3 linked regions of the Oryctolagus cuniculus genome follow. The protein of the gene in region 2 binds, or shares a complex with, the protein of the main gene of each other region. Links are inferred from orthologs where the notes say so. Each region holds a gene or a part of one and is shown on either strand. Other genes may lie near its edges. The genes, in order: CRIPT, CWC27 and SNIP1.

Region 1 (3,679 bases), on a different chromosome or scaffold from region 2:
ACCCAGATCCCCCATCTGCTAGTTCATGTCTTCTGGTCCAATTATAGAGACCGTGGCACTGGTATCTCCAGAGGCTGACACAGTGAGAAGGAACAGTGCTAACCAGCAGGTTACACCAGATCCCTGGCTCCCTCTGCCAGGACCTCTCATGCTTTGAGCACAATGCAATGATGAACAGTAAATTCACTCCCGCATGCTTAGTCTCAGGAGTGGGAACTTACACGACGGCTCCACAGAGGCTCTTACCCACCTTGCTTTTTTTGAAGTCAAAGCTTTATTTTCATTCAGCTTTCTTCCACCACTTTCTGTATCAAAATATTTCAGTAAGTTATTTCTACATACTTAACATCACACCTACTAATTCAGTTAGAAGTTCATCCTTTGACCTCCCACCATTAGAATAGCCTATATCAAAATTTTTAAATTCTCGTGAAATAGCTAAGTTTTTGAGATGCTACTTAGAAAATATTAGGGAAACAATGACGTTTATGTGAGATGCAGTTTTCTTACTCAGACAGCAAGCAGTACTTTAGGGGTGAGTCTACATTTACTCCATCCACTATAAAATCTAGAAGTTACTACTTTGGTGTCACAGACTCTGAGTCCAGTTCAACTTTCGTTTCCTTCCTGGTGAAAACAGCTTAAGTAATTTTTTTTTTATAAAGAAGATAAAAACTAGGTGAGGAGAGGAGAAATTAAATTCGGACTCTACACTATGACACACTCATCACTTGAAAATATTTAGTAGGTTTGCTATCTCCTGCTTACTATGTTAGGAACCTGTGCATGTAACTGGGAGAACTAGAGAGAAGGCATTAAATCACTGGGGGACCCCGTATATTCTTTATAGACAAGATACTCTGAGAATACAACATCTCACTTTACAAATAAATGTAAAAATATATTATTCACAGGTGGTATTTAATTCAATTTCTGTTTTCCAAAAGAAAAAAAATACCTGTGGTATTTCTTGCACCATCCTTCCATGTATCCGGAGTGATAACAGTGCCAAGTTTCTTTTCACCTGTTGTGATAAAATAGTAAAAGGGGCATTATAACTTGCTAGTTAATAAATACACCACATGGTGCCAAGGCTCCCAATGCCATCAACAGTCATATTACAGTGGGAGCCTGTTAATGCTGGGGTAGAGGCTAGTGAACTGAGATTCAAGATTTTTTTTAAAAAAATTTTATTTTATTTGTTTGAAATGCAGGTTGGGGAGGCAGGTGGTTTCCCATTCACTGGTTGGGAGTGGAACTGGGACTCACATCCAAGGATGCAAAACCCAGACACTCTAATCTGGGATACAAGCATCCCAAGTGACAGACTAACACAAATTACATGGGAGGCCAAAGTTAGAGATTTAAGAACCACACCTAAGAGATGAGACATTTGGGCCAGCACATAATATAAAGATATTTAATTCAAACTTACTCAAATACACACACAAGTCCAAAAACCACTGCAAGTACAAGATGAAGCAGAGTTACAGACAGTCAGTGTCAAGTAAGATCATGCACTTTCTGAAGGGATGGACAGGTCAGCCTATGATCACACTGCACAACTCTGAATATACTGAAAACCAGTGAATTGTACACTTAAAGTGCATGAATTGCATGGCATGTGAATTACGTCTTAATGGTTATTTTCTTAAAGCTTAATGTAAGGCAACAATGGTATGTGGTGTAGTATCCAGAAGGAGGGAGGCATTAGTTGCACTCTGGCCCACATATGGAGCAGAGTTTAATTCTGTGTCACGCAGTAGTGAGTTATGACAGAGGACACACTAGGGACCTTTGTACCAGGCATTACCTATGTCATTTCATGTAATTCTCAAAAAAACCCAAGGCTTATGTTGCGTTCTCATTTTCAGATGGGAAATCTGGGAACACCACGCAGCTTTGCCATGGGTCTGTGTGTCCAGACTGTATCCATCTACCACGGGGATGCCCACAGGTCATGTTCATTAGACCATAATCAGGATTAAGAGGAGTGGAACTCTTGTCACAGAAGAGCCAGAGGGAGAGGATTTGGGAACTTGACAGCTGCTTTTAAACACATAAACAGCTTGGTAGGTCCACAGGGTGTATTTTCTACAAATCTTAAGAGTTTGAATTAAAAACACTGGGTGGCAACCACAGAGGAAAATACTTTCCTCAAGCCAGCAATGCCTCCTTGCAGAGACTTCTTCGTAGGTCGTGGGGGTCTCCAGCCTCCCCCACCCAGATACTGTTTCTTTCATAGGATGGGATGCATTCAGAATAAGCAACGAAGCCAATTTAGTAAGGCACGTCCTAAATAACCGAATGGGGCATACTTACAGCACTAAAAAAAAGTATTCGTTGTTTATCTTAAATTAAAATTCAATTGGAGGTCTGGAATTGCTAGATCTCGCAACTCCACACGCTACAGAAATGACTTTTAAGGTCCATTTTAAGCCTGACGGAGGCGGTCGAGAAGCCGTAACTGATGAGGCGAGAGCCAGAAGGCGGCGACGGCAATGGGCAAAAAGGTGCAGAACTAAGGCCATTCTGATGACAAAATATACGGGATTACACAGTCGATGAGGGGCAGGAAGGGTCACAGGGCAAGGGTGGGAGAACACAGGCTAGACTTAGAGACCTGTGGGAAAAGGAAAAACCAAGTTCCCAGGAGAGTCCGAGTAAGTTCTCCCAGCCTCCTCTCCCCACACAAGCGGCCCCTTAACTCACATTTTTCGCACACCATCTTTCCGCCGACGATTCGCCCTCCTCGCCCCAGAATCAGCCGCAGCTTGAAAACATCAACACTACAGCCTGGGAAGAATTTTCCTTCCGGGCTACGTCAATCTACTTCCGGCCCCTAATCCTCCGCTCCCGCCAATCCTACGCCTGGAAAGCCGCGGGAGGCATGAACGCCAGCGGGTAGGCGGGGCTGCCTCGTTTGTCCGCCCATCCCCTTCTGCGATTGGCTGTGCGACCGTGGGTCTCCGCCCCGCGCGCTTGCGCCTGCGCGTGGGCTGGGGCAGCCCGTTGTGCCTTGATGGTGGGAGGCAGTAGTTCCCTTTCCCTTCGCGGGCGGGAGAGTTAGGTAAGCCCCGTTGGCTGCGTTCTCCTCTGGGAGGTGTGGAAGGCGCCTCCGCCAACTGCCCGAGTGGTCGCGAGCTTGCGCGCCCCCGCCGGCCCTCGGAGGGCCTCCTTCCGCGTGACCCAGGGGCTCCCCTGCTGGACCGCTCCTCTTTCTCAGGCGCGTTCCTGCCCGCGTCCCTCAGCTTTCGCCGGCTGACGGGCCGAGCCCCAGTGACCCGGTGTGGGGTGGGGCTGCGGATGAAGTCCGCGACCCGGGCGGCGGCTGCCCCGGGAGGGCTCGCCGGCGCCCTGCTGGCCGGCGTGGGCGGGCCGAGATCGCCGGCGCCGTGGCGGTGGCCCCGCGAAGGCGCGCCCGGCAGGTGTCCTCGTGGGCCCGCCGAGAAGGGCAGGCGCTTCACCTGCCCGGGTTCCTTCGTTCTTTGAGCAGGCGCTGGAGTGTGGCTTCTGCTGCTGGGATTCCGAGGGTGGCCCAGAGAAAGTAAGGGGGATCTGTTGAGAGAATGGATTTCTGTTCCCCCTACCCGACCCGCAGGCAGCTGAGAGTCTGAGAAACTTTGTCCCTGCTTGTCGCCCGTTCTCTACCGGATCCCTCGTGTGTCCCTTTATGTCT
Region 2 (3,649 bases):
TAAATTTAAGATAAGTAGACACTAACCTTTCCAAAGATGGTGTGTTTATTATTAAGTTCATCTGCTCGACCCAAAGTAAAGAAAAATTGACTGCCATTATCATGAGGACCAGCATTTGCCATGGCAACCAGTCCTCTCCTATTAAAACGCAACCGAGAGTGAAATTCATCCTGAGGTACAAAAAATATTTAGAGAATGTTCTCAGTTATAAGATATTTCAAATTCAATTGATTATTTACCTGACCAGTAAGATCTCAAAATACTAACAAAATCTCAAAATACTAACAAAAATGATAAGTTTAATTTAACTGACTTTTAAGTGTAATCAAGTCTAATATTTATACTTTTAATGCACTTAAACTAGAAATCACTAACCTATAAGTATATTCTAGACATACTCAGCCACAGATCAGCATATTTTGTGGAAAGCTGTCTACTAACATGCAGGGGAAGGGTATTCATTTGGGAGTAGATTTCTAAGATTCACTTCCCTATTATTATCCCTCAAAACCATCCAAGCTTTTAAAATCTTTTTTTTCTTCAAGAAAACAATGTTGAGTCATTGCAGAGTCTTCAGGTAATAGTCATCATCTCATTATAAATGTCGTAAAACAATTGCTTTCTTCTCATTTTTTAATTAAAGGAATTTATTCTGATTATGTTAAATGATTTCACTGTGACTTCACTGAAGCCCTAAGCTGAATCTTCTCTGAACTGGCATTGGTCCAATCTGCTAGTTTCCGAAAGGGCAGGAGCAAGCCTTTCTAAGATGGTTATCTTGCATGATAGGGTTACTTAACACATACATAAGCCACTTTGTTTACAGAATATCCAATGGTTCTAGGCCTTTTGGCTAAGATTGAGTACACAGAATTTCCATCCAGACCTGATTTTGCATTATGTATAATGTAGCCATGAATGTAATCACTGCTTGTCATAAATGAAGTTATTTTTCCTTAATAAGTTAATTCTCAAAGAGATCTGAATTCAATGAATCATTACTCTATATACTGTATTTTAAATTACCTAACATAAAAATTTAACAAAATAATTGTAGTATATGAAAATAAAAAAGCAAAAAATTAATCAGAAAGGAATTGTAAAAAAAGCTATTCTGTTACACCAAATACTAGAATAAAGGAATGCTTCCTACTAGACAGAGGCTCTAAAACTATGAGTCATTTTACTTTGGTAAATATAAATAGGCTAACTTGACATCTAAATTTTTTCATAATCATTTCCTATTTCCTAAGGCCATTATCATCTGGAAATTAAAGCAAACAATTCATAAAGTATTTTTCTGAAGACTCACACAGTAACTCAGAGAAGAAAGGAAACTCCAGACATTCTACCCCATTAACAGAAATATGAAGTTTTCAAAAACTTCTAAATTCTAAGAGCTTTTGATGTTCATTCATTCAAAGAACATGATACAGGTACCAGCAGTTAATAATGAACACAAATTTTAGTTTTCACTTGAACACACAGTTCTTTCTATCTTAACTATGACATTACCTCATTGTTCTTCTAAGATTTGTTGGTAGTTAAGAAATCACTGACCTATTCCTAATGTATCTTTTTCTAACACTTTTTATGTTGCTTTTCCTGTTGTGATTTTTCAATTGTGGTGTGCATTTTGTGCCGCGAGATCTATTGTGCATGATTTAGAATATATTCTTCTGTGAGCTGAATTGTGTAACCCCCAAATTCATACACTGAGCTCCTAGCCCACAATGTCACTTATATTTTGGTCCGTGAGGAGGTAATAAAGGTTAAAACAATGTCATAAGGATGGGCCCCTAGTCCAATAATGCTTGCGTCCTTATAAAAATAAGGGATTCCAGACTTCTCTTTCCCTTCTCCACTGTGAGGATGTCAGAGAAGGCAGTCATCTGCAAGCCAGAAAAACAGACCTGACCGCGAACCACTGCTTGATCTTCTCAGCCTCAGAACCATGAGAAACAAACCCTACTGTTGAAGCCATCCAGCCTGGTATTTGGTGATAGCAGGATGAGCAGTCTACTACAGATTCCAGATACTGTTTACATAAAACTTAAAGTAGAATAGCATATGCAGTGTTTAAAAAATGCTTTCATTTACAGAGCTGCAGATATTCAATACAGACAGACATCAGGAAATACTCTATCTTTATTCTGAACCATGTCTTTTTCACTACCTCCTTGAGTTCCCCCTGAATTAATTCTAGTATAAAATCTTACATTAAGACAACTTACAAAGAATGCTTGATGGGAAAAGTGTTGTTCTTATGCTGTGTAATCTTAAATATGTGACAGACATTGATTTTGCATACTAACATTTCTTTTTGGAATTTTTTTTCTTAAGGGACACATCGTTTTTGAGTAAGCATTCCAAGCTCACTTGCCTTGAATGGGGCTCCATAGATAGACTCTCCACCAGTCCCTGTGCCAGTAGGATCTCCTCCTTGAACTATAAAACCAGGTACAACTCTATGAAAAATGGTGTTGTCATAATAAGCTGAAAAAAAAAAACCAAAAATAATTTAGCAATATCTAAAATCAAGCCCATCTACCATTGTCAGAGCTAATATACAACTTGATCCAAGATTGGTTTTCTTCAGCTCCCAAACCAATACTTTATTTTTCCTATTTCTTAAAAAATATCAGGGCTGGCACTGTGCCATAGCAGGTAAAGCTGCCGTCTGCAGTGTCGGTATCCCATATGGGCACCAGTTCAAGTCCCGACTGCTCCACTTCCAATCCAGCTCTCTGCTATGGCCTGGGAAAGCAGTAGAAGACGGCCCAAGTCCTTGGGCCCCTGCACCCATGTGGGAGACCTGGAAGAAGCTCCTGGCTCCTGGCTTGGGATGAGCCCAGCTCCAGCAGCTGTAGCCAACTGGGGAGTGAATGAGCAGATGGAAGACTTCTCTCTCTCTCTGCCTCTCCCTCTCTGTTACTCTGCCTCTCAAATAAATAAATAAATATTTAAAACAACAACAACAACTAGGGACATATCAAGCAAATGAAATCTGTGATATTTTATTGAATCCTGAATTTAAGAAAATAGTTATAAAAGAAATTGTTAGAAATATCAGAGAGGCAGGCATTATGGTGCAGTAGGTTCAGCCACTGTGTGGGGTGTCTGAACCTCTTATGGGAGTGCCAGTTTGAGCCCTGGCTACTTTGTTGCTGATCCAGTTTCCTGCTTTTCTTATTTCCTACTTCTTTTCTTCACTCCGTGGAGAATTAATTCATTAATATGCAAACAACAAACAAACACACAATATATCAAAATTATTCAGATTGTAGGTCTACCACCATCAATGCACTCTCCACAAGAAACTTTTACTAAACAAGGTAAATAATTAACATAATATATATGTGAGTCCAATTAGACTACAAATCTGTTTGCTAAATTAATGAAATTATTTACATTTATATATAAATATACAATTTAGAAGTCATAAACATACAGGATAGGTTATATATGATCTCCTGTAGTATGAGTATCTGGACTCTAGAATCATTAGGAAGTCTTGATAGAGAAGAAAGAAGTTAACTTGGATATGGCAGAAAGCATGGCATCTCAGTGAAGCAAAGAATTTGGTGGGGAGCAAGAACTCGAGTTTGACTGAATACGAGAGTTCATATTAAAAAGTAGCACCAATATG
Region 3 (3,749 bases), on a different chromosome or scaffold from region 2:
ATACCACTCAAGAAGAAGGAATGAACTGATCAATGCAACAACCTACATGCCAAAGAACTTTGCTGAGTGAAAAAAGCCAGTCCCAAAGGTTACATGGTGTGTGATGCCGCTTATGTAACTTTTTTTTTTTTTTGACAGGCAGAGTGGACAGTAAGAGAGACAGAGAGAAAGGTCTTCTTTTGCCGTTGGTTCACCCTCTAATGGCCGCTACACCGCGCTGATCCGAAAGCAGGAACCAGGTGCTTCTCCTGGTCTCCCATGCGGGTGCAGGGCCCAAGCACTTGGGCCATCCTCCACTGCACTCCCGGGCCACAGCAGAGAGCTGGCCTGGAAGAGGGGCAACCAGGACAGAATCCGGGGCCCTGACCGGGACTAGAACCCGGTGTACCGAGTGCCGCAGGCGGAGGATTAGCCAAGTGAGCCGTGACGCCGGCCTGTAACATTCTTGACACATGACAAAATTAAGCCAACAGATTAAAAGTTGCCAGGACTTATGGAAGGGAGAAGGTGGGAAAGAAGTGGGTGTGCTATAACAGGACAACATGCCATGTCCAGGTGGCAGGAAAAACGTTTTGTAACTTATGCCAATATTTTGATTGTGATATTGTGACTACACTTCTGTACCATGCTTCCATTGGGAGAAACACCTGTCTTTATTAAATCTGATCTAAATCAGTAATTATCTCAAAATAAAAAAGCTTAAGAAAACCAGCAGAAATTTACCAACAACCAAAACAAACTCACACACTCAGTTTTCAGAAAAGCCCGCTGCAGGTGTAGGTGCTGTCTCTGTGGGTGTGCTTCTGGCTGGCTGTTTCCCTGGCTGCGGTGGCAGGAAGAGGCGCTGGCCTAAGACCCCACCTCAACACACCCCAGCCCACTTACCTGCTTCACTTTGACTGCCGAGTGGTGAGGACTCCGACTTCTCTTGCTCCGAGGAGACTTGCTTCTTCTCCCCGAGGACTTGTTTTTCTTTTTGGCTGGAGACCTTTCAGGGCATGGTACACACAGGATTTTATCTCAGTTTCCCTTCCCCCACATAAGCTAGCTTCTGGTATGGGGCTTACCTACTAACACAAACACATTTGTGAAAGACTGCTGATCACACCAAAGGAGCCGGGGGGCTTCCCGTTCCTCACCTACTCTCCCGCCTACGCCGCTGCCTCGGAGCCTCGGATCCTCCTCACTCAGGGAACACGGCTCTCCATCCCCTACCCTTTGAAGACTCTCCTGTCCAGGTCTGTCCCTTGGCTGTTCGCCCACCACCATGCAGAAGTCACTCTCATCACCACAATTCACGGGAGGCACCTCCTCCCCGGCCCACCTCATCGCTACCATCCTCCTCCTCCTCCACGATCACGACTTCTAGCTCACGTTCCTTGCACGTTTCCTCGGCGGCCAGATCACTCAGGTCTCTGCTCAAACGGCACCTCTTTCAAAGAGTTCTATCCCCGCTTCCTTCCAGTCTCTCACGATCACCTTACTGGGCCGACCTAGCCCTGAGACCTGTTGCCATCGGAAACTGTTTTGTTTGCATGTTGGCAGTCTTCCTGGGGCTCAAGCTCGTCCAATTTCACGAAAGCCTCACCCGTGTGGCCCAGGTCCCTAGTGCACTCTTTAGTACCCTATAGGCATTCAGTAAAAGTACGCTGAACGATGAACAAACAGTGCACCTAGCAGATCGCTTATACTCGCGTGGGGTGGATAAGGGCGAAGACAACGCCCGCACTCCCTGCGCGGGCAGACGGGGGGAAAATCTTTCAACTTAACGGACGATGAGTGCTAGCCGCTGGGCCACGCGCTCCGCGAAGTGCTGGCGACACACGAAAGAGGGGGCGAGGCCCTGACCCACAGGCATCAGCTCGACCCCAGCTGTCACGCAAGTAACCAGCACCGGAGCACACACGCCTTTACCCGAGCGCGACCCGGCCACTCCCACCGCCTCCCGCTGCTGGGCTCGGCATTCAGAACCCACTTCTGATGCCGGCCCTGTGCTCTTTTCTCAATGAGTCCGACCCAAGGTCCACCCCGGCTGTTCTCTGCTTACCGGCTCTCTCCCCGGGCTCTGCTCCCGCGGTGGCCAGGGCGGCCCGGCTCGCCGGCCGGCGGGGACGGAGTAGCGCCGAGGTCCGGCCGGCGGGGGGCGGGCGGCTCGGCTTCCGGGCTGAGGCGCTCCTGCTTCACCACCACCGCCGCCGCCGCCGCCGCCACGTCCCCCTCCCGGTGCCTCCGCCGGCTCCTCCGCTCCCGCTCGCTCTTCACCTCTTTCATTCTGCGACTCGGGTCGGGCAAAAGAAAAGAGGTCCGTTGAGCCACTCTCTCCGAAGGAAATGACGAGCTTGACCTCTGGACTTCCGCTTCCGGGGTGTGAGCTCTCCCAGCAACCCTCGCGGCGGAGCGCTGAACATGTGACGGCGCCCCCCCCGTGGGCGGGGCTGCAGGGAGCCGGCCCGAAGGGCGGGAGTTTTAAGTTTGGAAAGCAAACTACTGGGGAAAAGCGAACCTCTCAAGTTAATTCTTCACCGCGTAACTACAGAGCATGTGGGCAACCTCAGTGTACAGCTGTAGGGGGCTCCTTAGCCAATCACTGGGCATTACGTAGCTATTAGTAACGTTATCACGAACCATATACCGCTTTGTGGAAAAAGCCCGGACCGACACGGTAGAGGAAGGCGACGAAACTGCGCGCCAACCGTGATTCCATTTGGCCTTGGAAATACAAAAATGCAATCATAGTAGCCCGTGGACAAATCCTGCTATGTCAGTTCGCCATTTAACCTTGAGGAATACTTTTTAAAGCCCTGGGGATTCCAGAGACCCTCTTTTGGGGAATGGTCTCCAGCCCTTCACTGAGGTGACAATCTTGGGGCTCAGCGAAGGGGGATCTACCCAATCACGCAAGTTGCGCGCTATACGCAGCGCAGGGACTCGAACCCCCGTCTCCCGGGCGACCCGGCTGGCAGCAAGATTAAGACGCCGAGTGCCGGGGCCGAGCGCCAGGGCTGCGCGGGACGCGTCCGCGCGCCGCGCCACGCCCACCCGAGGCCCCGCCCCGGCCGGGAGGGGGGGCGGTTTCCATGGTGACCGCAAACCAGGCCCCCATCGCCGCCATGATCCCCCCGGCCGACTCTCTGCTCAAGTACGACACCCCGGTGTTGGTGAGCCGGAACACGGAGAAACGGAGCCCCAAAGTGAGGACGGGCCTCGGGGGACCGGGCCAGGCAGATCCCCGCGGCGAGAGTCCGGAGTCCGGGGACGGGCCCTGGGACGGGCGGAGAGGGAGCGAGTGGTCCGGGTGGTCCAGATGTCGCTGGGTGTGAGCGCCGCAGGTTAGACCTGGTCGCGGGGAGACAGACGGTAGGGATTCCTCTCCCGGTAGTCGGGTTCAAGGACAGGTCAGGTCGCGATGTCCCCACCGCTACAGGTGGGAGCGCAGACGCCTGACCGCTTCCTCCAGAAACACTGGTCCGCGCATTGCGTTGGGACCAGGGACTCTTCACGGGCTGGGGGTAGGGGAGGGGGTGCGCAAGACCCGGAGGCGTCCAGGGGGCTGAAGGCCTGAATCGTCTCTTCCCAGGCTCGGCCACTGAAAGCCAGCCCCCAGCAGCCGGGACCCTCCAGTCCAATCCCACAGATAACCAAGACCAAGCTCCCCTCAACTTCCTGTGTCCCAGATCCTACAAAGCAGGCAGAAGAAATTTTGAATGCCATTCTGCCCCCAAGGTAAAGCGTGGGCGCAGAGGCTGGGA

Evidence for each region.
Region 1: CWC27 (region 2) and CRIPT share a complex: the UniProt entries of both Homo sapiens proteins name them as parts of the minor spliceosome. The link is inferred for Oryctolagus cuniculus from reciprocal best matches to the Homo sapiens genes CWC27 and CRIPT.
Region 3: CWC27 (region 2) and SNIP1 share a complex: the UniProt entries of both Homo sapiens proteins name them as parts of the minor spliceosome. The link is inferred for Oryctolagus cuniculus from reciprocal best matches to the Homo sapiens genes CWC27 and SNIP1.

What each region holds. Positions count from the first base shown.
Region 1 is NC_091433.1:156,146,794-156,150,472, forward strand, and holds the start of CRIPT (cysteine-rich PDZ-binding protein), read right to left. Parts: upstream 2,866-3,679; 5' UTR 2,729-2,865; coding exon 2,713-2,728; intron 1,025-2,712; coding exon 959-1,024; intron 306-958; coding exon 251-305; intron 1-250. UniProt on the Homo sapiens protein: As a component of the minor spliceosome, involved in the splicing of U12-type introns in pre-mRNAs. Involved in the cytoskeletal anchoring of DLG4 in excitatory synapses.
Region 2 is NC_091445.1:85,773,927-85,777,575, reverse strand, and holds part of CWC27 (spliceosome-associated protein CWC27 homolog), read right to left. Parts: intron 2,497-3,649; coding exon 2,384-2,496; intron 171-2,383; coding exon 27-170; coding exon of another isoform or gene 23-26; intron 1-22. UniProt on the Homo sapiens protein: As part of the spliceosome, plays a role in pre-mRNA splicing. Probable inactive PPIase with no peptidyl-prolyl cis-trans isomerase activity. As a component of the minor spliceosome, involved in the splicing of U12-type introns in pre-mRNAs.
Region 3 is NC_091438.1:135,212,913-135,216,661, reverse strand, and holds the start of SNIP1 (smad nuclear-interacting protein 1), read right to left. Parts: upstream 2,363-3,749; 5' UTR 2,272-2,362; coding exon 2,048-2,271; intron 989-2,047; coding exon 886-988; intron 1-885. Other genes in the region: DNALI1 (axonemal dynein light intermediate polypeptide 1), read left to right, coding at 3,078-3,191, 3,578-3,723. UniProt on the Homo sapiens protein: Required for pre-mRNA splicing as component of the spliceosome. As a component of the minor spliceosome, involved in the splicing of U12-type introns in pre-mRNAs. Down-regulates NF-kappa-B signaling by competing with RELA for CREBBP/EP300 binding.